Linked DNA regions of Xenopus tropicalis. The main gene of each other region encodes a partner of the protein of the gene in region 6 in a complex. Links are inferred from orthologs where the notes say so. Each region holds a gene or a part of one and is shown on either strand. Other genes may lie near its edges. The genes, in order: med25, med7, med13l, med18, med26, med16 and med12.

The links.
Region 1: the proteins of med16 (region 6) and med25 are in contact, whole or in part, in a cryo-EM structure (PDB 7EMF), measured with the Homo sapiens proteins. The link is inferred for Xenopus tropicalis from reciprocal best matches to the Homo sapiens genes MED16 and MED25. Residues at the interface, in NP_005472.2 of Homo sapiens: Cys41, Arg42, Ser92, Ser94, His113, Arg161, Lys163, Phe171, Gly172, Gly173, Lys174, Pro195, Gly485, Tyr486, Ala516, Ala517, Gln520, Val521, Thr524, Arg525, Ile554, Ala555, Ser558, Lys561, Ser562, Leu563, Leu564, Arg565, Pro566, His567; in NP_112235.2 of Homo sapiens: Ala26, Asn27, Gly29, Pro30, Tyr31, Val74, Asp75, Cys76, Ala77, Pro78, Glu79, Val82, Cys84, His85, Pro87, Lys102, Phe103, Met104, Gly105, Gly106, Gly107, Gly108, Glu109, Thr120, Gln123, Leu124, Asp127, Phe128, Tyr151, Leu152.
Region 2: med16 (region 6) and med7 share a complex: the UniProt entries of both Homo sapiens proteins name them as parts of the mediator complex. The link is inferred for Xenopus tropicalis from reciprocal best matches to the Homo sapiens genes MED16 and MED7.
Region 3: med16 (region 6) and med13l share a complex: the UniProt entries of both Homo sapiens proteins name them as parts of the mediator complex. The link is inferred for Xenopus tropicalis from reciprocal best matches to the Homo sapiens genes MED16 and MED13L.
Region 4: med16 (region 6) and med18 share a complex: the UniProt entries of both Homo sapiens proteins name them as parts of the mediator complex. The link is inferred for Xenopus tropicalis from reciprocal best matches to the Homo sapiens genes MED16 and MED18.
Region 5: med16 (region 6) and med26 share a complex: the UniProt entries of both Homo sapiens proteins name them as parts of the mediator complex. The link is inferred for Xenopus tropicalis from reciprocal best matches to the Homo sapiens genes MED16 and MED26.
Region 7: med16 (region 6) and med12 share a complex: the UniProt entries of both Homo sapiens proteins name them as parts of the mediator complex. The link is inferred for Xenopus tropicalis from reciprocal best matches to the Homo sapiens genes MED16 and MED12.

The regions. Positions count from the first base shown.
Region 1 is NC_030683.2:117,441,727-117,444,990, forward strand, and holds the end of med25 (mediator of RNA polymerase II transcription subunit 25), read right to left. Parts: intron 2,868-3,264; coding exon 2,660-2,867; intron 1,254-2,659; coding exon 1,144-1,253; 3' UTR 669-1,143; downstream 1-668. UniProt on the Homo sapiens protein: Component of the Mediator complex, a coactivator involved in the regulated transcription of nearly all RNA polymerase II-dependent genes.
Region 2 is NC_030679.2:14,183,777-14,187,475, reverse strand, and holds med7 (mediator of RNA polymerase II transcription subunit 7), read right to left. Parts: upstream 1,986-3,699; 5' UTR 1,955-1,985; coding exon 1,265-1,954; 3' UTR 618-1,264; downstream 1-617. UniProt on the Homo sapiens protein: Component of the Mediator complex, a coactivator involved in the regulated transcription of nearly all RNA polymerase II-dependent genes.
Region 3 is NC_030677.2:145,408,147-145,412,111, forward strand, and holds part of med13l (mediator of RNA polymerase II transcription subunit 13-like), read left to right. Parts: intron 1-193; coding exon 194-353; intron 354-1,500; coding exon 1,501-1,837; intron 1,838-3,162; coding exon 3,163-3,382; intron 3,383-3,907; coding exon 3,908-3,965. UniProt on the Homo sapiens protein: Component of the Mediator complex, a coactivator involved in the regulated transcription of nearly all RNA polymerase II-dependent genes.
Region 4 is NC_030678.2:78,270,492-78,274,689, forward strand, and holds the end of med18 (mediator of RNA polymerase II transcription subunit 18), read left to right. Parts: intron 1-2,701; coding exon 2,702-3,255; 3' UTR 3,256-3,492; downstream 3,493-4,198. UniProt on the Homo sapiens protein: Component of the Mediator complex, a coactivator involved in the regulated transcription of nearly all RNA polymerase II-dependent genes.
Region 5 is NC_030677.2:112,238,989-112,243,589, reverse strand, and holds the start of med26 (mediator of RNA polymerase II transcription subunit 26), read right to left. Parts: upstream 3,051-4,601; 5' UTR 2,906-3,050; coding exon 2,834-2,905; intron 1-2,833. UniProt on the Homo sapiens protein: Component of the Mediator complex, a coactivator involved in the regulated transcription of nearly all RNA polymerase II-dependent genes.
Region 6 is NC_030677.2:100,791,609-100,796,201, forward strand, and holds the start of med16 (mediator of RNA polymerase II transcription subunit 16), read left to right. Parts: upstream 1-1,625; 5' UTR 1,626-1,937; coding exon 1,938-2,073; intron 2,074-3,640; coding exon 3,641-3,748; intron 3,749-3,936; coding exon 3,937-4,106; intron 4,107-4,301; coding exon 4,302-4,593. UniProt on the Homo sapiens protein: Component of the Mediator complex, a coactivator involved in the regulated transcription of nearly all RNA polymerase II-dependent genes.
Region 7 is NC_030684.2:44,419,925-44,423,889, reverse strand, and holds part of med12 (mediator of RNA polymerase II transcription subunit 12), read right to left. Parts: intron 3,213-3,965; coding exon 3,033-3,212; intron 2,817-3,032; coding exon 2,745-2,816; intron 2,001-2,744; coding exon 1,843-2,000; intron 1,748-1,842; coding exon 1,586-1,747; intron 1,410-1,585; coding exon 1,298-1,409; intron 1,160-1,297; coding exon 1,070-1,159; intron 916-1,069; coding exon 806-915; intron 131-805; coding exon 1-130. UniProt on the Homo sapiens protein: Component of the Mediator complex, a coactivator involved in the regulated transcription of nearly all RNA polymerase II-dependent genes.

The DNA.
Region 1 (3,264 bases), on a different chromosome or scaffold from region 6:
ACAAACCAACCATGGGGTTTGTGGACAAATTTGTTCATCCTCTCTACTCCGGTCTTTGGTTGGTTTTATGATTGGTAGAAGCCAGGATAGGGTGGATCTGATGGTCAATGAGCCATGGGCAGCTGTACACGGTCATATATGGCAACTCCCTAGGTATTAACATATCCTGTACACAGAGATACCATAAGGCTAGGCAATAGAGACATCATACAAACAAGTCTGTGAAACAGTTGGTCTGTACCAGGTTGGAACCCTCCAGTTCGATCTTCATTAAAGAGGTAAATATACTTGTCCAATCACAGCGATTAACTCACGCTTTATGGCACTGAAGCTTCCTTTTAAAAGACGTGCAGAATCCAGGGAAGGCAGAAAACTGCTTTAGGATAAGATTTCTGGCTCTTCGGTATCAATAAATGCACAACAGAGTGGTGGCTTCTTGGCACATTAACTATGACAGCAGTAGAATACCAGTCGACCACACATGCAGATAAAATATTGCCCTGTGTTACATACATATGTTTCAGACAGCTAGGTAACTAGCAATATTGTATATCCCTTTCATTTCTTGTATTGATTGTAATCCATAACCCCAGGCAGTACCCTCCCATACACTGTGAGACGACTTACTGGAGCGATACTTCACTATGGGCTAAAATGACCACAATGGATTTTCTAAAACGTTTTTTTATTTTTTTTTTTCATGGCATATCTTATTTTATACCTGTAAAAGCTCATTTTACAATATAACAAAAGAAAAGTCTGCTACGTGTTGTAAAAAGGACGTGTGAGTCAACAATGGTCAAAACTGAAGCAGTTCAGTTAGTTGTCCGTGACTTCCTGGAAACAGGGACCAATCCCACCGGTAAATATAAGCACCAGTGAGGATAGAGTTCTATACCCACCTGTATGGGGACCAAACTGCCGACACAGGAACCAGGAGGCCAAGCAGCTTTCAACAGTTTAGCGACTCTGACCAGATGAGTCTGAACACGCCCTATGAATTCCTATTTAGGCTACTGTCGGTTAATAAATCAAGAAGGCGAGGAAATGACAAGAGGTGATTCATAGCTGATGAATTCAGAAAAATCCTGCAGGATTCATATCATTTTGGAGGCAGTAGAGTCTCATTTCCTTAGCTTATCCTCAAATAAGGTCCATTAGGATGTCGTCTTCCATGACACTCTGAGCCTGCACTTGCTGTAGGCCTTGCTGAGGGACAGGGCCTCGAGGTCCCGCGCTCATCATCAGTGTCCCTAAAGCAGAAAAACAAAGCACAAGTGTCAAACAGACTGCTTCAGGCTTCTGAACCTTTATACCTTAGTATGATAGGGATTGTTTTATAGTAATACCATAGCAACGGAATGCACACAATGACCATTCAGGCCAATTCCTGAAGGTTTATGAAGGAAATTCCCTGTGAAATATGCAGCACAATGAAATAAATGTCTTGCAAGTCTACACTAAGGGGATTATTTTTATAGTGTATAAGCCAATACACTATAATAAATATGCCCCAAAGTCTGATAGTTACCCACAACAGCCATCCAGCAGGTATCATTTACCTTTTTGAAACCAAACATTAATGTCAATATAAATGAATTTTGTTACACAGCACCACCTACTGGTCAGTTTCTGTCCATGATCCAGTCAAGAAAGTTGTCAGGAGAAAGAAAGAGGGGTTGGTTTGATGTTCTTCTGCTTAGGAAAATCATTAGAAACCTCAGATGACCTTTCCTAAGCAGAAGAACATCAGAGCAGCCCTCTTTCTTTCGCCTGACAACTTCCTTGGTGACATCATGGTCGGAAACTGACCAACAGGTGGTGCCTTTGTTGCAAAATTCATTTGTATTAACAGTACACATTTCCCTTAATATCTTGGAATAAAAAAATTAATGTAAATTGCAAAAGTGCTTAGAATAATTTTACATTTACTTATTTTATAAAGGTTTATTTATCATTTAAAAAGCACTAATTAATGATAAAGACCTCAGGTTAGGGTGTTTCTCGGTCACTTATATAATCTAGAACACCTGTACAGTATGGTCAATGGTGGGTTCACAAAGAATGATGGGTAATATATACAGGAAGCTTTTAAAGTGGTCAGACCTGCAGGATTTACTTTGTGTTGTACAAAATGAAACAAGGAGATGAAGAAAATAGAATCCTATATGTATACCTCCCAACGATGAGATGATATAAGGATCAAAATAAGATACAAGTATTAGTATAGGCCAGTGGTCCTCAACTGTTGTTGTGAGCCACAGTCAAATGTAAACAGACGTGAAAAGCAACACAAGCACCATAAAAGTTCATGGAGGAGTCAAATAAGGGCTGTGATTGGCTATTAGGCAGCCTCTATGCACCCTATCAGCTTACAGGGGGCTTTATTTGGTAGGAAAGCTTGTTTTTATTCAACCAAAACTTGCCCCCAAGTCAGGGGGCACTGAGAGCAACATCCAAGGGGTTGGGGAGCAAAATGTTGCCCCTGAGCCACTCCTTGGGGATCATAAAACCCCTAGCCTGCTGTAAATGAATTTCTCAGGGTGTCTGTTTAAAGGGCAATGCAAACTGTGAGTGGGCAACAGTGTGAAGTGACCTGCCTGGACCAATTATTGCCACTCTTGCTACTGCCGTTTCCCCTGGTGTGAAACCTCCTCACCTGGAATTGGTGCTCTCTGTTGCATCTGGTTCCCCCATTGCTGCGCGGGGGCTTGGTGCATAAGTGTTTGCCCCGGGAGTTGGAGTTGCTGCTGGCCGGGAGCCTGGTGCTGCATCTGTTGGCCCATGGCCTGATGGGGAAGCATGCCCTGAGCCGCTTGCTGCATATGGTGCAAAGGCTGCTGTGTTTGTGGGACACTGGTCTGTGGCTGTAAAACAGAACAACGAAATGGATATTTAGTTCTTGTACAATGGTTCTGTCTTAGTGACTTGCTCAAATGTTCACGCCTTGGACCAGAACAACATTTTTTTTACAGACAAGAAAGAAAAAGCACTAAGTTTGGCCAGGCACAGTAACCCATAGCAACCAATATGATGTTTGCCTTTAACAGGTAACCAGTAAATTCTGCCCGCTGATTGGTTGCTATAGGTTACTGCTCATGGGCAAACGTAGCACCTTTTGTAACATAACCCCCATTGCCACTATTGTGAGGAAACAGCTGTGGAACATGTGGCATTTACTCATGGGGGATTCTCTCCCTCTCCCTGGATGATGCATTTTTATATATATTTTGGAAACCTGGCATATCTATATGCAATATGAAT
Region 2 (3,699 bases), on a different chromosome or scaffold from region 6:
TAAAGGGTAGCAGGATCTAAAAATTTTGCTTCACAGCCCTCCTCCTTTTGTTGTATTTTTTTTTCTACAGGTACAGGGGTCTGACCATGAGAAAGAGGCTGGTAAGTGCCACCTGTCCTGCAACTGATGGGGATTCCTGTAATCTCACCAACCTCCTTAGGAAATAAGGCCTAGGTGCCCACAGCACCACCCTTCTGAAAATAACAACTGGCTGGGGCAGCCAACAAGTTTACCTTCCAAATATTTTGGCCAGCATCTGTAGACTGCAGGGTGGAGCTTACTTAAACATATCCATTCTACCAATCAGAATGAGGATGGAATGTTGTAAATGCACAGATCCTGGTACTCATGTTTTTGTTTCTGTATAGCAGCTCTTGTCCCTGCACCTTAGTGCTCACAGTGTGTTGTTATTTACAGTGCAGCATAGCATCCTCCTATCATGATAAAATGTATATTCATTGCTACCATTCATGAATTTGATCCCAACCTAAGCACAGTCATTTAACCCTTGCTTTGTCACAAAGGCTGACACAGGGGAGATAGAAAGCTTGCATGTAATGTGAATGCACACAGCATCCTTAATGGAGGTGGATAATTAATAGGAAAGATGCTAGAAGTGACAGAGGGTTAAAACTATAATGCAGTAATACAAATATTAAAGTAAATAAACATGATAAACTGTAAAGGCGAGCATTTCAAAATATGGACTTCTCCTATAACAGATAACAGCACCCATTTTGGGATTTTCATGCTCCAAACCAATCTGAGACTAAAATATTCCAATTCAGAGAGAAAAAGATACAAACAATTGTAATATTAACTTTTAAATAAACTTTGATATCTCAGAACATGTGAATAACTGTACAAACATAACTTGCAATGAGTAGATTCCATACATAGTATATCAGTTAGATAACATTCAAAAGTCTGACCCCAGTCCTTTGTCTGTTTAATCACAAATAAGCAGTTACCACCCAGGTGTTGCAGAACTACAACCTTCCATTCCTCATACACATGAACTGGCAGGGAAAACACTGAAAAATATTAGCCTTCTTGCATACTGCCTTTTCAAAAGCATGGCAGAAAAGCACAATAAACAGACATGTACATGAGCAATAGCTGTGACTGAGTTCCCTTGGGACAAACATTTTCCTTGCCAAGTCCCATGATGAATACAACCAACACATAGAGCCATGCTATTGCATTTCAATGAATCCTTGTGACTTCTAAAGTTCAAGAGTCCTGATTAGAACTGCTTATTGGACTAGGTCATTTCATCGATGATAACACACATAGCTGCATCCTTATCAATTGTGGTCTCTTTCAGAGAAGCTGCTGCTGCCTCCTGGGGCCCCGCATGATGGTCCGTACAGGGTTCCCGAACATCCATTGGTTCAGTTTTTACACTGACTGCGCCATCAGAAAGAGGGAGGTCATTGGGTAGCGATGCCAGACAGTTCTGGATCATCTCCACCACTCGCTCTAGATGTTTCTGGAACCTCTCTGCCGTTTCCAGCCGCTGACGTTTCTGCACCTCCATCATCACCCGCAGGGTCTCACGTGCCTGGTGGGGCCTGTACTCATTAATAAGGTGGTGCATGTGAACAAATAACAACTTTAGGTCCTCCAGTTTCTCCTCCCTTCGGATGCTGCCTGGGCTTCGGATCAGGATGTCCAACATATCCAGAAAGTTGACCAGGATGGACATAAGGAGCTTCCTCAGCTCCTTCTTATGGTCGAACTGCATGGGGTGGAGCCTCTCGATGCCCTGAGTTTCCAGAGGGCGGATAATAAGGTCATCACACTGAAACTGGTTGCCAAACATCATGTAGCTGTCCTTTATGGGGAGGGGAGGCTTGGGGGCCAGGCCCTTGCGGATGTTTTCATCTGTGTACTCCTTAATGTACTGCATGGGAGGTATAGGCAAAGCGCTGACCTGCTGAGGCTCCCCCATTATGAAGTGAGTAGGAGAACCTGTGACACAGAAAGAAAAAGCCCATTCAGTTACATACAAATAACAATATAAATCCCTGTGTGTGCAGCACATATATATATATATATGCATTCCAATTGATGATGCGCACTCCTGTATTTTTTTAGTTCATTTATTGTTACATTATAAAGTTAAAAACATCAACGTTTCGGTCCAGGTCTAGGACCTTTATCAAGATGTTAAGCCATAAAAAGTCACACACATAATGAGTCTTTATATAATACAAAATGCCTAACCCCGCCCACATTGAGCATAGCCCCAACCCCATTTCACAACCCTTAAGCTGGCCATACACGTGGCGATCTGACGATGTTTCGTACGACCATCGGTCGCACGAAACATTGTCAGATCCGCCACACACCTTTCAAGGCTGAATCGGCAGGTAAGAAGGTAGAAACAATAGGATTTTTACCTCCTTCTGCCGATTCAGCTCTGAAGGGAGAATTTTGGTCAGGCGCCTTCTATGGCGCCCGATCAAAATTTTCAAACTGGTCCGATCGGCGAGTCGGCCGATATCAGCAGATTCCTGCGATATCGGTCGACTCGCCGACATGCCATACACGCACCGATTATCGTACGAAACGAGGTATCCTGTATAGCACATACTGACCTGCTCCTCAACTCCTCTCTCATTCCCTCCTCACACGCTCGCATTCAAGACTTTGCAAGGGCTGCCCCCCTTCTCTGGAATTCGCTCCCACAAACTGTCAGACTTTCTCCCAATCTCTCTGCCTTCAAGAGATCTCTAAAAACACACTTATTTAGAGAGGCTTACCCTAATCTAGTTTAGCAATACCCTGTGCCACACCTCTCACAACTCTGGCCATGCCCATTCCCACACCTTGTGTCTCAACCCTTTCTCCTTGTAGATTGTAAGCTCTTTTGGGCAGGGCTCTCTTCACCTCTTGTATTGGTTATTGATTGCTTTATATGTTACTCTGTATGTCCAATGTATGTAACCCACTTATTGTACAGCGCTGCGGAATATGTTGGCGCTTTATAAATAAATGTTAATGTAATAAAATACACAAATTGTGAATTAAAGAAAACATATCAGTACAATTAATAAACACTATTACAATTAATTAATTGTACTGATGTGTTTTCTTTAATTCACAATTTGGGGTTGGGGCTCTGCTCAATGTGGGCGGGGTTAGGCATTTTGTATTATATAAAGACTCATTATGTGTGTGACTTTTTATGGCTTAACATCTTGATAAAGGTCCTAGACCTGGTCCGAAACGTTGATGTTTTTAACTTTATAATGTAACAATAAATGAACTAAAAAAAATACAGGAGTGCGCATCATCAATTGTAATGAATACAAGCTACAACCAGGTGCAGCACCCTGCAATCAAGTATGGAGTAAGTGTGTTTAATGGGAGTGTGGACCGAAAGGTATTATATATATATATATATATATATATATATATGTATACTGCACACACAGGGACTTAATGCCAAGAAAAAAAGTGTTTATTGAAAAAAATCCAACTTTTTGAGCACAGTGTGTGCATTACCCTTTCTTTATATTCTATGTTTTACCTGCACCCAGGGCATCTGGTTTTGTGAAGGGTGTGCGCCTCTCTGTGTATATATATATTATTAATGACTATGACCCCCAGGCTTTGCCTATAGCAGGCAGGCATACACAACGTGTTGTATATACACATATAAGCTATACGGCTATATAGCAGACAGTATTG
Region 3 (3,965 bases), about 45 Mb from region 6:
ATTATAAATATTAAAATTACAGTACCTGCTTTCCAACCTTTTTTAAAAGTACCTTTAAGTATGTGACTCCTTACTGGCCCTGTTGGCAGCAAGGCTTGCCATGAAATGTTTCATGAAGCTGTAGATACTAGCCTGTCTGTTCTACCATGATACAGTAGTAATACAACTTACTGGTTTCCTTTCTACTCCAAAGATGTGCCGTCTTGGTGAGCACAGGCCAATCTGTAAAGTGCTTAGTGATGGGATCATGAAGATTAGCCAGCCTGCAGGTGACAGTGAAGAAACGTCTTGTGAGGAGATGGATAACCAAGCAAGGCTCCAGCTATTTGCACAGACCTGCCGCCAGCATCTTGGTGAGCCAGATAACTTCCCATCTGCATACTGCACCAGATTTAGTTTTTGTCCATTATTCTTTATTTTTTTGATAAAACAGTTTGTGAGGTTCTCTCGCTGTTTTCCAACCCACTGTAAAAACCAGCTTGATCTTTGTTTTAATAATGGTCCAGGTTATTTATTTTTTTAGAGGTGTGGGGCTGTAAAAACCAGCTTGATCTTTGTTTTAATAATGGTCCAGGTTATTTATTTTTTTTTAGAGGTGTGGGGCAGAGGCTGGTTTCAGGCAATTTGAGTGCCATGTTATATATAGGCAACAAAAACCTGACAAGCACTTGTGAGGTGATTCAAATACAATTACAGTTTTGGGACCGGTTATCCAGAATGCTTGGGACCTGGGGTTTTCAGCATAAGGGGTCTTTCTGTAACTTAGATTTGTACTAAAAAAATAATTTAAACATTATTTAAACCCACCAATATGGATTAATAATTAGTCGCTATCAAGTACAAGGTACTGTACATTAAAAATTTTTAACTATTTGCTTAAAATGGAGTCTATGGGAGACTGCCTTCCCGTAAATCTGAGCTTTCTGAATAACAGGTTTCCAGATAACTCTGATCCCATACCTGCACCTTGTAACAGTATATGTGTTTGTTAATATAATGCCACAGAATACCGATCACCTTTTTTCTCTAATATTTAGAAAGGATATTTCTGACCTTTTGCCGCTCACCATCAGCAGGTGATGGAGGGGAAAGGGGGTTGAGTTTGACTAAAGGTGTGAACCACTCTCACTCCACCATGTGATAATGTAAAAAAAATTTTTGTCGGTGGGCTGACTCCTTAACATTATGCCATTTGTTATACTATTGTGAACTAGCACATTAAGCAAAAGTGGACCGTTTGTAGTTTGTTAAAATAAAGTACTGTGGGCAAATTCATTGCTTCTTTTTCAGCGTTTTGGATAATGGGTTTCTGAATAATAGATCCCATAGTTGTAATTTGTAGTTACTATAACTCTTTTAATAAACACGAGAGGAAAATAAAAAGTCACAATTGCTGTTTATTATATGCGCTGTACAAAAGGGATTAGCTGGAACCTTACATTGATGTTATGACATGGATGTGTAAGTTTTGCTAATGCCCATTGTCTTTTTCTGTTTTAGCTCCTTACTTATCCACATTGCAACTAGACAGCAGCCTGTTATTACCTCCTAAGAACCAGCCACCTACGGTACAAACCAGCTCAAGCCCAGCTGTGCCGTCTTGTCCTACTGGTGTTCTTTTTAACACCACTCCTAATGGCACAAGTACTACTCCTTTACCACCACCACCTCTATCCTCCTCCACATCTCTTCCTGCTGGAAACAGCACAGTACCCACTGGGTTCAATAACTGCCCATCACAGAACACTTCAAGTATTGTGGAGCGACCATTAGGAAACCAGACCACAGGAGACCCAGAGCCTAGCCAGCAGTCCATGCAGCAAGAGACCCCAGAAAAGTAAGTACAGATGCTGTATTAAAATGAAATTAAATATTTGACTTCTTGCCCAACACAACAGCAGTTATATGAAAAACCTGGTAGTCAGTTCTTAGAAGGGGATATGGAAAACAAAAAAAGAAGCTTTGTAAGAACTGTAAAAATGTACTTTTGAAACTGGGTGAGAGAACACTGACATTTCCACTGCAGTCAGTAAGTCAGACAATTCACTCCTGTACCTAGAGATTCATACACATTAGGCATCACTAAATTATTGCTGACATATATATGCATGTTTATGTGTCTTCACTTTGGGCCTGATTAGCAGTAGCAGCAAAAAGCTTTTAAGGCTTTCTATGCAGTATCCCACATGACTCCAAAGACAGTAGCATGTTTCAGCAGAAATTGCCCTTATCCTTTCCCGCTTAGATTACTGCAATCTCCTACTAACTTGCCTCCCAGACTCCCACCTCTCTCCCCTGCAATCAATCTTAAACTCTGCTGCCAGGATCCTTCTGCTCTCTCCAAAGAGGGAACCTGTTCAGCCTCACTTAAGCTCTCTTGCATGGCTGCCTGTTAAGCAAAGGATTGCTTACAAAATCCTAACATTCAAAGCCCTTCACTCCTTTGCTCCTCGCTACATTTCTTCACTGGTCTCCCTGCATGTTCCTGGTCGTCACCTCCGCTCCTCTCAGAGCCTCCGTCTTTTTACACCATTCACACCCACTGCGCTCTCTCGTCTTAAACCTTTCTGTCTTGCTGCTCCTTACCTCTGGAACTCTATCCCTGAATCCCTCCATAGGGAACTCTCACCCACTCTCTTTAAGAAAAAGCTCAGCTGTTACCTTCTGGAGCACTAAAACATTTTGCCTAGTCCTGCGCTTAAGGGAAAATGCCCATACCTGGTGCACTCTTACCTTCCAATTTGTGCTTGTATGTTACCCAACCACTTAGATTGTAAGCTCTACGGGGCAGGTACCTCCTTCCTACTGTGTCTCATACCACATGGCACTTATTCCCTGTGCATTTATATATTTATTGTATTTATTTATTATATCACTTGTCCTCCTTCTGTGTAATTCTGTGTATTGTAAGATTGTACAGCGCTGCGTACCCTTTTGGGTCTTTATAAATAAAGTTATACATACATACATGTATTCGTTTTTAGTATTTTTGTATTGCTTATTTTTTCTTTTATATGCACTGTAAATAGACTTTTTTAATAATAATATTAGTAAAATCCTGTCAAATATTTTTATGATTCAAAGGATATTTTGCTTTGTTTAATTTAGAAGGATTTTTAAACATATAATATACAGCTTGTATTGTCTCTTTTACATTAACAGTGCCACTGAGCGGGAGAAAATTGGCATTCCCACAGAACCAGAACCAGCTGGAGCACTCAGTTCTTGTCCAACAGTAGTTATATACATGGTGGATCCATTTACATACACAGTGGATGAAGACTGCCACCCTGGGAACTACTGGATGCTTGGCCTGATCAGATGTTTTACTGACATGCTGGAGAGTTTACCAGAGCCACTTCGATCAGCTTGCATACTTCAGGTAAACATTGTTTGTTTTTTATGTGTGTTACCATAACCTTTATGTGCTTTTCACATAGAGCTTTTATAAGACTTTTCTCAAGACTTGAATCGCGCTTGCTTGCAGTGACACTTATAATATAGGGGGGTGGTGGCAAAGAAATGATTATTATTTAAAAGATCTGTATACAGTGGCACCCATATTGTACGGCAACTTTGTCGACATTTTACTATTTTCCCAGGCAACTGTCAGCAGACATAGACACGCAGATGTGTCGAGTAAAACTGTTCGTATTGTACTCTACTGCTCATGCATGAGTCTAAGTTTGTGCCAGGGACACCTGGGAATAGCAAGTAAAATGGTGGAGCTTTGCTACTTTTTTCCCTGGGCTGGTGCTTCTCTTATTTTTCCTAAAAAGAGCACTAGCCTGGGGAAAAAACTTACTGACTGAATTCACTTGGGGGTCTACCATAAATGTTTAGCATCCTTGTATTTAATTAAAAATTTGTGGTCATCAACAATATCTTACCCTACTCTCTTTTTCAGGTGGTTCCCTGCCATTCTCTTCTGCAGACTGTAAATGATGAAGTGGTCTCCTACATTC
Region 4 (4,198 bases), on a different chromosome or scaffold from region 6:
GAACGCTCCTATAGTTTATATAAATAAGCTGCTGTGTAGCCATGGGAGCAGCCATTCAAGCTTAAAAAAGGAGAAAAGGCACAGGTTACACAGCAGAAAAGATAAACTCTGTAGAATACAATGGCATTTTATCTGTTATCCGCTAAGTAACCTGGGCCTTTTCTCATTCAAATGGCTGCCCCCATGGCTACACAGCAGCTTTGTTTATATAAACTATAATAGTCTTTCTGAGGCAAACCCACCAGTTACACCAGTGCAGGGTAACAGTACATTATATTGTTATTGCTTTTATACGCTTTCATATTTTGAGGTTACTGTTCCTTTAATAACACTACTTGTTAACTCAAATACTTCTTGCCAGTACTTTTGTATTTTAGGGCAGTTCCACCAGGTGTGCACGAGTCCCTTCCTGTCCACATTTTCTCCAGCACATTTTAGTGGCTGTTTGTGAGACTATTCTTTAATTTTTCATGCATACACCCATTTATTTTACAATGCTGTGGAATATGTAGTTGTTTTATTAATACATGCAATAATTATAACAATTTAAAAAACATGACATTAAGTATGATTTAGTATATATTTTTTTATTTTTTTTACACGTTCTGACCTATATCTGTGTACACTAGACATTTGTTGGTACATTAGTTGGGCAGGTTTGCTAATTTAATATAACAACACACCATATCCACCAGTGCTGGGTGCATCAACTGATAAATTAGTGAATAAGAGCTGCAGCTCCTGTTATTGCTGTCCCAAACAAACAGAACAACAGAAAGTTGCACATGCCCTGGACAGTATGTATGTGTTCAGATACTGCATTGCATTGACATGTCTATGGTCACACTAAGCCATGATGTACACACCCAGCTATTTCAACAACACCAGAAAAGGCTCTCTATTCCTGCTTTAGAGTCATTTCTAGTTATCTGAAAATACTAAAGTTCATACTCTATGTAAATAGAATAGGTTGGCAAAATGTTTTGTATAAGGATTTCATCCACTTACAAATAAGTTTTATTGCAGAGAAACCAGTTTTCTCGAGCAGGTGTATGTATTTCTTTTTATAGTGCCTGTGCCCCAGGGTAAAAATAGCTTTACAACAGAAAGGTACATAATAAATCAAACAAATAAGTAAATGCACATACATATTACCTTACAAATGATTTCTAGAATCTTGTAGGTGGAAGAACACAATTTTGATATCTGCAGAAAGCTTATTGATTGATGCATCTGATTTTGTAAATAATTTAGAAGTTCAAAAAATGTTAAACTGTGAAAGATCAACTTTTATAGCCACTCATGCAGCACCCGTTTTTTTTGTATCACAAGTTAAAGGGGCAATCTAGTTAATGTATTTAAATAGGCAAGGAAAGGTTAATTCACTGGAGGTGCCAATATGTTGGGGCTCCTAGTGTATTAAATAGGTAAATTTGTTTTAACTCACCAACCCCCATATGTAAGAAGAGGCACTCGGTAGCTCAGGAGCAGTAACCCATAGAAAGCAATAAGATGTTTGCTTTTAATCGGGTAACCAGTATATTCTACCTGCTGATTGGTTGCCTTTCCACCGGCAGCAATAGGAGTCGCCAGGTGGAAAAGTCTATGCATCACTTCAGCTTTCCAAAGTCGCACAAAGTTGCCTGCAGGATGTGTAGCCTTAAGGTTCTTTTCCCACCTTGCTCCTTCAAATCTATTTATCCTTTTTTGCACCTTTCTGTACAACATTATTTCTATAGGTACATTTTTTACCAAAACTCTCCTGACACCTAACCTCTCATTCTGAAACCAAGGGTGTTAGTATAGTATCAAAGGTTGGTTTTCTCTGCTTTATTCAAATAGCTGTAACTCATTTTAATAAGTTAACCTCTCTGCTACATTGCCACCCAGCTACTAGAATGGCTAGAATTTGACTCCTAAAAAGAATTTGCACTTTAAATTCCAGCAGCGACCCCTGTCACAGAAGCAAGAGCACTTGTTTGTATTATGACTGCAAAGCTCAGAAGGATAGCAGGCAATTACATGGTGGTACAAACCAGCAATGCTGTCTGGTTACAGGGTTCTGCTGGAATTTCAAGTGTTAAGATGCTATTTGGGCTGTGCCATTGGCACCCTTGGACTTTAGACTGAAGCTGACAGTTGAAGTACAAAGGATAAGAAGTGGTGGCATGTTTTCTGGCAATTAAAAAAGATACGTTTTTCTTTTGTTCAATTTTATAATGTGCTAAATGCAATGTCGCAAAGTTGTTTCTGTCCATTTATTTCCCATTTAAACTGCCACAGGGTAGGCAGCACAGTCAAGAATGTCATCATACCTTGGTTTGCTTTTATGTATGTATGTATGTATTTACATACATTTTACTGGAACTAGGGGCCCTAGTCCTAAAAAACAGCCCCAGACCATTGTTCCTCCACCAAACTTTTATAGTAGGTATTATGAATTATTGCAGAAAGCATTTAATTGGTATTCACCAAACAAAGACCTGTTGGTCAGATTGCCAGATTACCAGAGGTAAACTGCAAATTGAGAATTAGTTTCCACTGCTCCAGTAGCATTGAATCCTAAACCATATAGCCAAAACTTTCCATGGTTTTGCCATTAACAAAACAGTTTTTCTTGCTTAATCACTTTTTGGAAGCCTAATTAACTTTAGCAGTAACTGTTATCACATATTAAAGCCTTTAATTTTTTTTTTTTCAGGTAGTATTCTTGACCAGGGTCTAGAGAGCCTCCTCCATCGTTTACGTGGTTTATGTGACAATATGGAACCTGAGACATTTGCAGATCATGAGAGTGTCTACCTTCTCAAGGGTCAGCAGGCCAGCCCCTTTGTGCTACGAGCACGTCGCCCTTTGGATCGGCCAGGTGCTCCATGGCACCTTAGGTATCTGGGTCAGCCTGAGGCTGGAGACAGAAGCCGCCACACGCTAGTGCGTAATTGTGTTGACATTGCCACCTCAGATGTTCTTCCTGAATTTCTGCAGGAGATGGGCTTTCGTATGGACCATGAGTTTGTGGCACGCGGCCACTTGTTCAGGAAAGGGGTTATGAAGGTGGCAGTGTACAAGGTGTTTCGGGTGTTGGTAGCAGGAGCAGCAGAGGGTGCTGAACCCTTGTCACTTTCATACCTTGTAGAGCTTAGTGCAGTGGCGCCAGCTGGTCAAGACAATATAGCTGATGAAGTCAGGGGGTTTGCAGAACAGCTCAGACCACTCGTGCAGCTGGAGAAAATAGACCCTAAACGTCTGATGTAAAGGGGACATTCCAAAAAACAAGACTCAAGATTGTGTGTTTCTGGTGAAAACCGTTTACACTGCCATAATTCATTGGTTTTTCTCATGAGCTGAGATGGCATGAAATTCCTCTTGACTGTAAAGGGACCAATGTCAAGTTCTGCTGGTTTCATTGTGACACAGAACAGCATCTGCCACTGTATTGTGCAGACCAGAAATAGAATGATCTGTTTTATTATTAAATTTGTTTTATTTTTCCTGTTGTGTTCAGTATTGTCCTCCTGACCTGCAAATTTAAAACATTTTTACACATATTTACTTTGAAAGATCCATGTAATTTTTAGCTTTTTTTACTTATCATTTTTTCAGGCACTCCCCTATTGATCTCCCATTCTGATAGTCAAACTGCTGCCTGGTTGCTAGGGTAGTTAAGCTCTAGTAACCAGATAGCAATTGAATTTCAAAGCATGAGAGTTGCAAAAAAAATAAAAAATTAAGTCTGTCACATTGTACTTGAAAGCGGATATCTACATAATAATTTTTAGGTCTATGGCACATGTTGGGATTAGTTGCCTGCGATAAATCTGCTCTACCCTGTGGTGACTAATCTTCTGAAATAGCTTTCCCATTGACAATAATGTAGATTCTCTTGCAATCATACACACAGCTGCTAAGCTTGAGTTGCCTGTTACGGTTTATGATGTTACCAATTTATTATTACTTAAAGGAGAAGGAAAGGCAAAGTCACTTGGGGGTGCCAAAATGTTAGGCACCCCCAAGTGACCTTGTACCCCGGGCTGGTGCCCCTGTTGCTGCAGCACTTCCTGCTTCGCGCGCGCATGCGCAGTAGAGTGAAAAAGCTGAACTTAAACAGAGAAGTCGCTTTTCACTCTACTGTGCATGCGCCCGGCCCTTGGAATTTGCCGGCAAAACGAAGCAGGAAGGAGGAAGCGCTCGCTACAGG
Region 5 (4,601 bases), about 11 Mb from region 6:
TGCCTTATTTATTTGTTATAGTTTCTGAATGACTTCTTCAAACTCTTCACTGCTGGGGTCAGTGGCCCTCATTTAAAAACTGCAAAAACACTTGCTTTGTGAAGTTACAGTTTTATTGCTGTTACTTTTTGTAAATTTTCTATTCAGGCCCTCTGCTGTTCATATACCAGTCTCATCCAAACCACTCCCTGGATGCTAAGGTAAATTGGACCTTAGCAACCAAATAGCTGCTGCAACTCCAACCTGGAGAGCTCCTAAACTAAAAATGTAATAACTAAAGAACTACAAATAAAAAAAAAAAATTAAGACCAATTGCAAATTGTCTCAGAATATCACTCTACATCATATTAAAAGTTAACTTAACTGTGAAAAACCCCTTTAAGAAACAGCATAAAAGCATAACCCATACCATAGGTATGAACAGGTCACCTAGGTGCCTCATAAGCTATAAGGAAAAAAAAAAGTAAGCCATAAGCAATGCCTCTATACAGAAAAAAATCCAAACACAAAACAGCATGCTTGTTCTCAAAAAGCATGAACAAGTAACATCTCATCTTTCAGTTATTCTATGGGTTTAAAATAAAAAAAAAAAACAAAAAAAACTCTTAACTGTGACAGTTTATAATAATTTTATGGTGTAGTGTACAGTGTCTTTCGGATTAACAGATTCTTCATTTAGAACCCGTTATTCTAAAACATGTTGTGCACTACACAATAACATCATATGAGATTCATAAGGAGTTCTCCAGTGAAAATGCAAAAACATTAAAAGGGTCAAAGTAGCAACCAGGGTTAAAAATTGCTGAACAATTCTGCAGGCTAACAAACTGATTACAATAGGGCTACTACTATACCTAAAGCCAAAGGTGTAGCGATTTACTGATTTTTTTCCCGAACACTCCCAAAAGTGGTTACTGAAAGAAAGGAACAACACTTACAAGTACCTTCCTCTAATGCATCTATCAAAGAGCCCTAGCTCTGTACTGCTCAGCACCTTTAGTTGTTATTTTTCACACCTGTGTAATACAGCGCAATAAATATTTAACTATTTGTGAGATATTAAAAAATTACAAATCAATTCTAATATAAAGCATACCCAACCTAAACAATATATGCTTTTCTGGAAACCAGGATCCTTTATCACAGTTGCCTAAATCTATTTTTACATGTGCTTTTGTTTACCTACAGCTTAAAAATTCCCATGCAGACACAGGCCTTTCAAAAGTACAGCTACCAAATACAGACTTTCAGAAGGTATGTGTCAGCATTAAAGACACAAATTAATTCAGTATGTACATACCCATGTGTCCCTCACCCCAAAATAACTTTGAGATGCTTCTGGCATTAAAAGGTCCAAATCCTTTCTAAATGTACAAGCTGTATATCTCCAGTGATACAGGAAATACACATGTATTTAAAGCTATAACTGAAAGTAGGTTTTCAGCAATAGATTATTATCAATTTAATAGTAGTGTTCACTCTTTATAGTAAAGGCTTCAGTAAAAAAAACCCTCAAACTTCAGAAGTTGTTTACAAAGAGATTATGCTTTATAGATACATGTTAATAATGGTTACAAATCTTATCCTGCAATGTACTTCAAACTTTTGCTACATAAGTGCTTTGCAGAATTAAACTCTATAGGTGCCGACGCATCCTGCCAATGCTAAAATAAGTATCAAGAGAAGATAGAAAGTGCAGTAGATTATATACTGTAAACAACAGTGAAAGCTTTTACAAATTTGAGACATACCAATAAATTGTATTGCTGACTGCAAATTACTTGGCCTTCTAATTTGTGGGAGTTGTTACACCTCAAATATAACAGCACATACAACAACAGGTCTGTATATAATGCAGTTATAAATGCCATACACTTCAGTCAAAGATAAATCGGTCACATAAGGACCCATGACAAATCTCTAAATGAAATACAATAAATAGCATTCTGAACTTTCCCTGTTCTGTTTCTTTGAGAACAGATCTCTCAGTTTAACAAGCACACCGCCTGCCCACACCAGAGTAATGCCAACAACATGAGATAAATGCACCCTGTCCCCACAAGCACACATCTGCACTGCCAGGAACATAAGAATATGCCAAAGGAGTGTGTTTTGGCAGTCCCACCGACTCGGGCATCGCAAGCCTAGCCAGCAGTCTGACATGTGCCGGTGCCTACAAGGGCAGTCTGCTAACTTAAGGCCGCGACTAGGCCCTATCCCCGACCTCGCCTACAAAGTAAGGACGGATGTGCTCGAATATACAGAGTCGGATTAAGAACGCGAGATGGCCTAAAACAAGCGCCAGGGGTCCCTGCTACAAAGGACTGCAACCCCAGATAAACGCCGGGACCCATAATCCTCCATTCCCCAGTTGCCCACTTCCTGCTCAGCTCTCAGGCTTTATACTCGTCTCTCACCTACCCACAGAGAAGGGGCTCTCAACTAGCTGTTCCTATCGAGCTCTGCCTTACCTATAGCACTCCACTGTGGGCTTCTCAGCTCCCGGCATGGTCAGTGCCACTGCCTCCACCACCCTAAGGCTCTTGCACGTTCTGGCTCCAGGGGACTCGGTCTTTCCCAGCCTCATGTGACCCTCAACTAATAACCTGGAGCCAAAAAGTGCATTCCAGAGTAACGACACCTCTCTTTTCCCCAGCCCTTAGCCACCAACCACCCATAATCAAGGGATAGTGTCACAGCAGCCTCCAGTCACTCTCCGTCAGCCCTTTCCCGGTCGTCCCTAGTCTAGCTTCTCACTGCTGGTTCAGAGGGTTTCATCAAGTGCCGAAACCCCGTGTTGCGCTCTTTCCACTCCCTGTCCCCCCTGACTCACGTTGCTTTGCGTATCGATGGCCTGCAGCAGCCTCTCCCTGATCTCCCGCGGGGTTACCGGAGCGGCTGTCATGGCCTCAGTCCGGGGATCACTGCGGAGGGCGGCGCGGCATGTTCCCTGGGAGGAAGGAACACGAGTTCCCGGGCGCAGGGAGAGCAGCGAAGAAGCGAGAAAGCCGGAGACTCCCAGACGCGTCTCTCCCGATGGAGTCGAGCGACCGGGAGTCCCGAGGCACGCCGGGAAGTCCGCCGCTGCACGCTTTGTGACGTGACGGTAGCGGCGTCCTGGCGTCACAGTCCCCCTAGGTAGCACGTACGTCACGCACGAACGTCTCTCATCTTCCCCCTCAGTAGGAAGTGTCAGACACGACTTAAAGCTGTCATTCGTCTTCGGTATCCATGGAGAGAGGGGGCAGCCCGTGCGCCTGCTAGCCTTTAGGCACCTGAGTTGTTACTAGGCAAGATGCATCACTTAAAATAAACACTGTTGTCTACCCTGCAACTTTTGTGCAGTAGACTATAAGCCTAGCTGGAAGGAGGGGCTTATTTAACTACATCACCTCAGTCAGCGACACTGAAACAGAGCGACCCGTGGGTCGTTATGAACTACTATGGAACTCTTTGTGGAATTCTGGGAGTTGTAGTTCATAAGTCATACGAGTAAGTTTGCAGGAAAAAGAATCGAACGTTTGTTTAGAAAAGTTAGCTAGAAGTGCTACACATATTGCCATATATTCAAGTGAAATCAGGTTACACTTATTTCAGCCCTGCAACCTGCATATGTTAGAATTGTCTGGGTTTTGTTTTATTTAGTTTGTCTTGTAACCTTATCTCAGAGACAAAGGTTAGATTCAGAAAATATGGAGAGGCAGACGTTCTACGTAGCCCTCTAAAACATATTCATTACCAGTTTTTTCATTCTCTACTGAGTTCCAAACTGTCTCTGGAACCTATATCAGTACAAGAAATATTAGTAGCTGCACACAAGCTAAATATCACCATGTAGAGTGCCATGCATTGCCAGTTGTTGTGTAAAGCTGTATAACACTGGACAGCAGGGAGCTGGAAATGGGTTCTCTGAAATGATGAATCATCTTCACATATGGCAGTCAAGCAGTCATTTCTGGGGTGGTGGGTTCCAGACAACTTAGTTTGGTGTAGGACTAGTGATCAGGGGATAATTATTGTTTTGGGTTAGTATTCTTGGTTTCAACAAGGAGACATTAGCGCTATAGTGTACAATGGTATTCGTGGATATCGTTGATGCACAGGTGGTCAAAATAAAATTGGTAAGCTTCCCATCTGCATAAAACTTGGTTTTTGTGTTTGGGTCTTAAAAACTTATTGATGTATGAATATTGAAAAAATGCAATATATTAAGGTAGAACTCACCAACAGTTTCTTGAGGTCCGGGTGCTCAAGCCCCAGACCTTCAGCTCAGGGGAAGTGATAGACACACTTGGATTTCAAATAAGGCTGGCATAAGACTGGACTGTTGAAGCAGATGGTGATGCAGTTAAAATGATGAATTTATGTAGTAACAAGACCTCTCAAAAGGACACGTCTTACACGTTTGGTGCCTTATGGGGCACTTAATCATAGGCTAATGATTAAGTGCCCCATAAGGTACAAAATGCATACGGCTTGTCCTTTTGAGAGGTCTTGTTACTAAATAAATTCATCATTTTTAACTGCATCACCATCTGCTTCAAAAATCCGGTTTTGTGCCAGTCTATTTAGGATTCCAAGTGTCTCTTAAGTACTGTCAC
Region 6 (4,593 bases):
TTTACTGAAATAACATTTTCTACAGATTTTAGCAGATGCTTTGATCTGCTCTTAGTTTTCCTGTGTGCGCCACCTAGTGACACAATGCAGACATTGTTAATATAATATGGAAGAGAAAATACAGAAATAAAAAAGTAACTATAGTATAATGAAAAATAATGTGAGGAAAACAATTACATTGATACCGTCTCTTCTTAAGAAAAATCTGTGGCCCTGCAAGGGATTTTTACAACCCATGGTCTGCTCAATATCTCCATTGACTTCTTTGTAGATACACTGTGTATCTCATCCCACAACAAGTGGGATGAGACACAGTGAAATCTCACTTTTACATTCCCTGATTTTGCCATATTTCACATTTCCACAATCATTTTTTGGAGGGGTCTGGCGCACACAGGTACCTGGCCACCACCCTGGCAAATATTAAGCAGCGGGCACCCTTAACTTTATCAATGAGAGTGACTATAGAGCAGGGGTGGGCAAACTTTTTGGGTCAGGGGCCACATTGACTAACAGACGGGCCGGACCGGGCCGGGACAGCGTTACGCCCGGGGCTGCCATCAAAAATTATGGGGCCTCTCAGCTCCCCCCCAGCATCCTTCATGACCTGCGGCTCCCTCCGCCAGCGACCCGCTGCTTCCTCCGTCCCGTCCTTCTGTTCCCCGGCTCCCCAGTGCATTCTTTTATATGGTTGCGCCCCGTGTGTGCTGACGCTATGCGCATGCATGGGGCGCAACCAATCAGGGCCCGTCATTCTTTTAAGGGGGCCGGAGACAGCGGGCCATAGTTTGCCCACCCCTGCTATAGAGGAACCAGACCCTATGGTCCAGGCTGCCCCTGGTGCCCCCCCCCCAACCATGGTGTCTGCTTCCTCTATAGTTACACCACTGACTGTAGGAAGAAACCATCTTCACAGCATAATAAAGGGGGGAACTAAAGATTTTTAGTTTTTAAATCATAATCCTGTGTGTGTGTAAATCTATATATATATATATATATATATATATACACAAACACACACACTGTTCACAAATACACATTTTTTATTAGATGAGTGGAGAATATATATATATTAAATTAAAATAGTCCCAAATTACATTTATTTCCAAAGTAAAGTGTGAGCAAAATGTAAATGTAAAAATAGAAAGGTTTATTACTCAACGATTGGGTCTCACACAGAAGCCTTCATCTGGAGTGAAAAACAAACTAAATACATATATATATATATAAATATACATGGTTTGTTTTTCACTCCAATATCCATTTGATAAGATAAGTGCAAAATATGGAACGCTTCACGAATTTGCGTGTCATCCTTGCGCAGGGGCCATGCTAATCTTCTCTGTATCGTTCCAATTTTAGTATATGTGCTGCCGAAGCGAGCACAAACATACCTTAGCGCCGGTTCTTATTTAAAGCCCCTAGCTTTTGATTCGGTTATATTGGAGTGACAATTTTGTATGTCTATATGTATATTTACACCGAGCAGCAATAAATATTACTTGATATTGTTTTATTTACTGGGTACATGAAAAACAGAAGAGAAAGATTGAATTTATAGCTGCAATTTAGGCATTTGCCACGATGCACGCCGGGAGAGGTCGGCATGCTAATCTAAGGATGACGCCATCGGAAAGCGACATTGAGACGCTTATTCCGTGAGACGCACTAATGTAGCCGGGAACTTTCATTACTGGTTTTACGTAGAACCTTGTTATCCTACGGGATTCTGGAACCAGCAGTAACCAGAGCAGTTTAGTAGCAAATCCCCTACGCAAGGTTCTAGCATATTTTCGCTTTTTGACGCTTCTTGTCGTCCGCCTTCGTTTCTTATAGCTGCAGTCAGTCAGTCCATTCCCAATGTAAGCCATTGTGTTTCTGTTCCCCCGATCTGTAGCCCTTCTCCCATAGTTAGTAGGTGCGTGTTTGCTGTCAGCATGGATGTGGGGTACGTATGTGAGTGGGACAAAAGACCACGGACCAGTCACTGCCCATCAATCCCACTAGTTTGCGCTTGGTCTTGCCGCAATCTTATTGCTTTCACTACAGATCAGCGCAATGAGGAGGAGAAAGGTAACATCTTTTTGTTATTACAGCACCGCTCTGTGAGTGTGATTATATGTGTGTGTATTTCTATTATTTAGTAACTGTTATATGTCTACTTTTCTCTCTCTATCTATAATGCATAAAACAATTAAAAGACAAACCAAAATGAGTCTTACCCAGTGTTGGACTGGATACCAGGAGAACTCATGGTGGGCCCAGGTGTCAGTCTCCTGCTCCTGATCATTTGGCCTGTTTCATGGTCATTCCCTATTTCTGAATGGGAAGAAAGTCAAGAATTAGATGGAAGAATAGATGCTATGTAAATAAAAGAGACTTGGAGAATAAAGTGGTTGGGTGGGGAAGGAGGACAAATAATTTGGAAAGTGGGTCTAAGGTTTTCTTGTGGGTCCCTGGGTTCCCAGTCCAAAGCTGGTCTTACCAAAGAGCTTGGATTGCTTGGATTACATTTTTATATTACCATGTTTAAAATGAACTAGGTTAGTATATTAAGGGTATTTGGGTCACTAGAATGCATAGAATGCAGATAGATGCATAGACGCAGATAAAAAATTAAAGCATCTGAATCTATAGGCATACACATTACGGTTAGGCAATGCCTTTTACATTACATTAACATTTATTTATAAAGCGCCAACATATTCTGCAGCGATGTACAATAAGTGGGTTACATACATTGGACATACAGAGTAACATATAAAGCAATCAATAACCGATACAAGAGGTGAAGAGGGCCCTGCCCAAAAGAGCTTACAATCTACAAGGAGAAAGGGTTGAGACACAATGCCTTGCACCAATATAAAAATAGAAAGTATTGCTTGTAGTGGAAGCGTGGCAGCTTGAGACCTAGGTGCACAAATTCAGACCCAGGAATGTGTTACTGCAATAAATTCTACTTTTTATTTAATGTCATTCTGTGCCACTTTGTATTGTGGGGAAAAAAAATTCTGCACCTTACCCCCCCTTAGTAAATAATCCCTGCCAGCAGGCTCAGACTGCCAGTCTGTGGGTTCTGGCAAATGCCAGAGGGACTGCTGAAAGATGCCATAGACAGTGACTGTGTAGTAGAGCGCTAGTTGGGGGCTATTTGAGCTTTTGTGTGCTGAAAATGCTAGGGCCTATTTTAAATCTCAGTCCAGAGCTGCCTACTAGAATGTTAAGTGAAGAAGTGTGTATTCTCTCACAATAGTTGGGTCGTGTGAGCTGTAAGAAAAGTGCTTGTTACTGAAAAAATGCTAAACAATTGGCTGTAGTTAGCCCTCCTTCCCACCCCCATTCATTTACCTTATGAAATTTACATTGAAGTGCAAAGAGTTCATCTGTCTTCTATTATCTTTCTAAAAAGTTCAACTGTACTCAAAATCAGGCGTTTTACAATGCACAAATTTAAGTATATATTTTATGCTCTCATTGAATATATTCTTATTCGTTAAAGCAAGTATAATTTGACCATGGAGAGTTGCAACATTGCATAATTCTCACCAGATTGTTTGTTTTCCAGGGTTTTGATAAATTAAAAAGTGTTTTTACAGGAATATGGATAAATCTGAAATAACTTGATTTTTTTTCTTCTCAGATATCACTAATTTGATCCATATCCTCGACACAGAACATCCGTGGGATGTCTACTCTATTAACTCTGGGCACCAGGAAGTTATTACCAGCTTGGAGTGGGACCAATCTGGTACAGTAAAACAAATTGCTGGGCTTTTTGATAATAAACAAGAAAACCATATAACTTAAAAGGGAAGGGCAGAGAGCAAAGGGAAATATGAAGAAACAAGATAAATGTGGGAAGCAGAAAATGAATCCTTGAAGGGACATAGACAGTAGTGTTTGTAACTGTTGCTTTGGTTTTATTGGTATTTTTAGGTTCCCGCCTGCTCTCAGCTGATGCAGATGGTCGAATCAAATGCTGGGGAATGACTGATCACTTAGCAAACAGCTGGCAGAGTCTTGTAGGCAGCGAAGTGGATGGAGATCCCATAGTAGCTCTGTCTTGGTTGCACAATGGAGTCAAACTTGCTCTCCATGTTGAGAAGGTGGGTGAGATAACAATGAATATTTACATTAGTATTTATATTTAGTTGTTTGTATGCTCTTTTCTTTCACTTCACTTCACTTTGCTTATCCTTTTTGTTGTTAAGCAGAGACCATTATTTCTTTTGTCCCCTAACCATTATTTCCCTTTAAGTAGGCATTTACCACCCTTAATACTGATCTTTTTTCTCCTGCAGTCTGGTGTTTCCAGTTTTGGAGAAAAGTTCTCACGCGTGAAGTTTTCCCCATCTCTTACTTTGTTTGGTGGAAAGCCAATGGAGGGTTGGATTGCAGTCACAGTCAGTGGTTTAGTTACAGTGTCTCTGCTAAAGCCCAATGGACAGGTGCTAACAGCTACAGAAAGCCTGTGCCGACTACGTTGTCGTGTGGCACTTGCAGACATTGCATTTACTGGTGGTGGAAACATTGTTGTGGCCACATGTGATGGGAGCAGCACATCCCCAGTACAGTTCTACAAAGTTTGTGTTT
Region 7 (3,965 bases), on a different chromosome or scaffold from region 6:
TTTCTTTACTAAGTTCATGTATGCCCTTTTATTCTCTTCCATGCTCCCCTGAGATATACTGGACATATCAGCTGCCAGAGTTCCGTTGATCAGAACACTGAGCATGTCTAGGACAGTCGTGAAGAGCTCGCTGCAAAGCAACATAAAGATGAGATTACAAACAGCTGATGATGAGTAGTCATATACAATACATGGTACTGAATGTCAATTTGTTGGTGTCACATATAAATATGACCCACCTCACTGCTGGCTACTTGCTTATCAATGGGCATTGGCTGGCAACCTTTAGTGCTGCCAACTGGTGCACACCATGGGAAAGCAGCCGGATTTTTAAATAAAACAGCACAAAGGGTAACTTTAAAAGGTTCTTTCCTCCTTTACTGAACAAGAGGGAAAGGGTACATCAATGGGGGTACTTTTCAGTGAGCACTGCTAACAGAAGCACTGACCTGTGGATTTGAGTAAGCTACTGTAATTTCAATAAGGGTGCCTAACATTTGGACACACCCCAATGATTAACCCTTTCCTTCTCCTTTAAGAGGTATAAAAATGCAATGTCAAATTGATACTCTATGCCTGCTTTAATCACAGGATTTATAGTTTATAGAGGGATTGGCTAGGATTTGTCACTGAATTCTGATTTTTCCCTAACAAAACAGCCTGATTAGCAAAATCCTGATTTTTTTTTTCTTTTTTTAGCTATTTAAATCTAAGGCTAAGGAAGAGAAAACAAACTGATTATGGGAATCAGTGGGCAAAGCAAACAAGTACAGATGAAGAGGCACAAAGAGTGTGTATACGTTACTTGTTTGACTGCATATCCACTGTACCACTGCTGATAATGTCCAGCAGAAGAACAGCCCATTCAGTGGTTTGCTGAGTGCTGCGCTGAACTGTATCAAACATCCCACCAACCTAGAAAGGAAATTGAGGACAGGGAAGATGTCAGTAATAAAGGATAAATTCACCTGCATTTTCCGCTGCATTCTTGTAGGGACTTCTATTGCTAAGAAACATAATTCATTTATCACACTTCATCCTCTGCTTTATATTTCTTTCTCTTACTTACCAGGTTAAGCCTCAGTTTCAATACATCATGCAGCAGCTGAGGAGTTTTGCAGTCGTCCTGATACTGATCTTCCCGCCAGTTGCTAACAATCTGAAGTGGGAGGGTTTGGATTTAAAAGGACAGTGATTCAAAAGCAATTCAAATGTATGAAGGTTAAAAGCTGTGGAAAAAGTGATAGTGGGTGGTGTTGGTAAGAGAAAAACATAAAGGGACTGTTACCCAACCTACCTGTTGCACCTGGCCATAGAGTGATGTCAGAAGCCCCTCCCGCTGCTCATCCTGTCCCTTTAGGCAGGTCAATACCAGTGACAAAAATGGCTGCTGACTTAGCAAGGACATACTGCAAGGCACAGACATAAGAATATATAACACAAGCAACATAAGGAAAAGGAAACAACCTCAGCCTTTTATCAGGTGACTGAACAAACATTTCCTATACATTCATATCACCCTTACGTATTGCTCTCAATAAGAACTCCCCAACTGGTCTTCCTTTGCCATTCACAATCTACTCACCTTTTCTGCTTCTGACGGTCACGTTCCTTGCGAGAAGAAGATCCTAGGTGTTGGCCCTTCTCTAGCTCCTCCCCTGCTGCTTTTAGCACATGACCTTGAACTGATGTAGGCAGCTTTGCAATGAGAGGGGCCACAAGCCAAGCCCCAGACCGCTCTAAAGAACTGCATTGACAAGGATTTTTTAGTTATTGCTAATGAATAATATGAAAGGTAAACAAAGCCATAGAGTAATAGACCACAACAGAAGCATCACTTGCCTGAGTACTGGTTTTGTCTTGCTGTTGGGAGGAGCGTTGCTGGAGGTAGCATTGCTCAGGGCAGCACTATTGGCGGGGGCTGCGCAGGCATTCTCGGCCGATTGCTGGAATACTTCAATTGTGGCTTTAGCAATATTTTCTAATAAAGAATTCATTTCCTGTTGGTAACAATCAAGATTTAGACATTAATTGCCCAAGTGCAGTTGCTGTGTCCCCCAAGAATAGGGAAAAAAACATTCACAGTTCCTCAGATATTATGGGTAACACTAGTGTATAAGATATTGCCCAACATCACACATTCTTGGCTAAAACTTTAGTTGTCACAGCAAATTTTTGATCAGCACCTTTAAGACAATATATTTGATATTTGGTGCAAGTCACATAACACCCACATCCATCTGATCATCCAATATTCTTTGACCAGACAGTACCAATGAGGCAATATCTTCTTAAAAGCCTTTATTGAAGTAACGGTTCCCTGACCTGGGCACTAGCAATTTTTCAGACCAACACCAGTCTTTTTCCAAGCTACTGAAAGCTGCTTATGACCATATATTAATACTGTGTACAGTGTTTACACAGCAACCTCTATTGGTGAAATATTATATTGCAAGCCACTGATTGTGAAACAAGTATGGATGCAAATGTTTCCATTGCAATGTGTTACATTTTTAAAATAAAATTGCTTTTACAAACTTTTGGTCAATTCATAAAAAGTTTTTGAAAGCAAAGAAACATTATTTTTAAAATGTAACAGATTGTGGCTAAGTGATACTATGTCAAAGTCATAGTTCATTGTGTCACATGTTCCACTGACAAAGTATAGCCATAAAAAAATTATTTAAAAAAAACTTGCAAATACTATGTTCCCCATAGGCCCCTAACAGAATGACACTCCTTACATTGCTTGGTGTCTGTTTAATCATTAGCTGCAATTCCAGTGCTGACTGACGCATTGTCCACTGATCCAGGTTCTGTTGGGAAAAATAAAAATAAGGTTCAACTGTGCAAGGAATTAAAGGTGAATGGCAGCAAAAGATGCAGGAACAACAGGAATGAGAACAGAATAAATACAGGGTTCTCTGGTTATCCCTTTACCATGAATAAAACAGAAGCACAATTTCTCTATCCTTTATTTTTGTGCTCAGTATCGTTTGGTTTCTGTTATATTACCTTAGATCCATACTCACCTGCAAGATGTGTTTGATTCGCTGCCTCTGTGGATTATCTCCCTGCTCGGTATCATTCAGTCTGTGTGGGTAACAGATAAGCTGCATGAGGCGCTGAGCCTGAGCACTGCTCAGAACAGGGTCCTGTAGATCATTAGAGTCCTCGCACAGGGAACGCACACAGCGCTCTCCAACCCATTCCTGCAACAAAAATATAATTAACAAGATTCACTAAAAGAAGTTTTTAGCTCATTTTCTAACATAAGGCACTAGCACATTTTGTTTTCCCTGGTTTTCCAAATAGCAAATTATTTCTGTTCTCTGGGTAGGGGAGTTCATCTCCAGTTAAGTACGGGGCATCTCTAGCACAATCCTGGCCACAAGCCAGGAACTGGAACTTAAAGCCAAACTTAAATTGGGTTGGGCAGATCCTATCTTAAGTTTTGTAAAATCCTACCAGGCCAGGCTTGGCTTCATGCACTGTGAACATAGCATAATGTGAGAATTTCTAGTACGGAGAATTACAGACTGGCTAGAAAGTCTCACATTATGCTATGTCCACAGTGCATGAAGCCAAGCCTGGCTTGGTAGGATTTTACAAAACTTTAGCTAGGATCTACTTACCTGTTTGTTTTTATTTTCTGGTACGGAGAATTACAAACAGGTAAGTAGATCCTAGCTAAAGTTTTGTAAAATCCTACCAGGCCAGGCTTGGCTTCATGCACTGTGGACATAGCATAATGTGAGACTTTCTAGCCAGTCTGTAATTCTCCGTACCAGAAAATAAAGGAACAAACAGGTAAGTAACCATTCATCTGAAAGGCCCGCCATTCAGCAAGACTGAAAACGGCTGCCCCAATTACCAACACCACACATGGGCTGAATTTTTGGAATAGCCTGGGGGGGCCACAGGTTCAGATATAAGTGCAACCATTTTGAAAGCCATGGATAGGT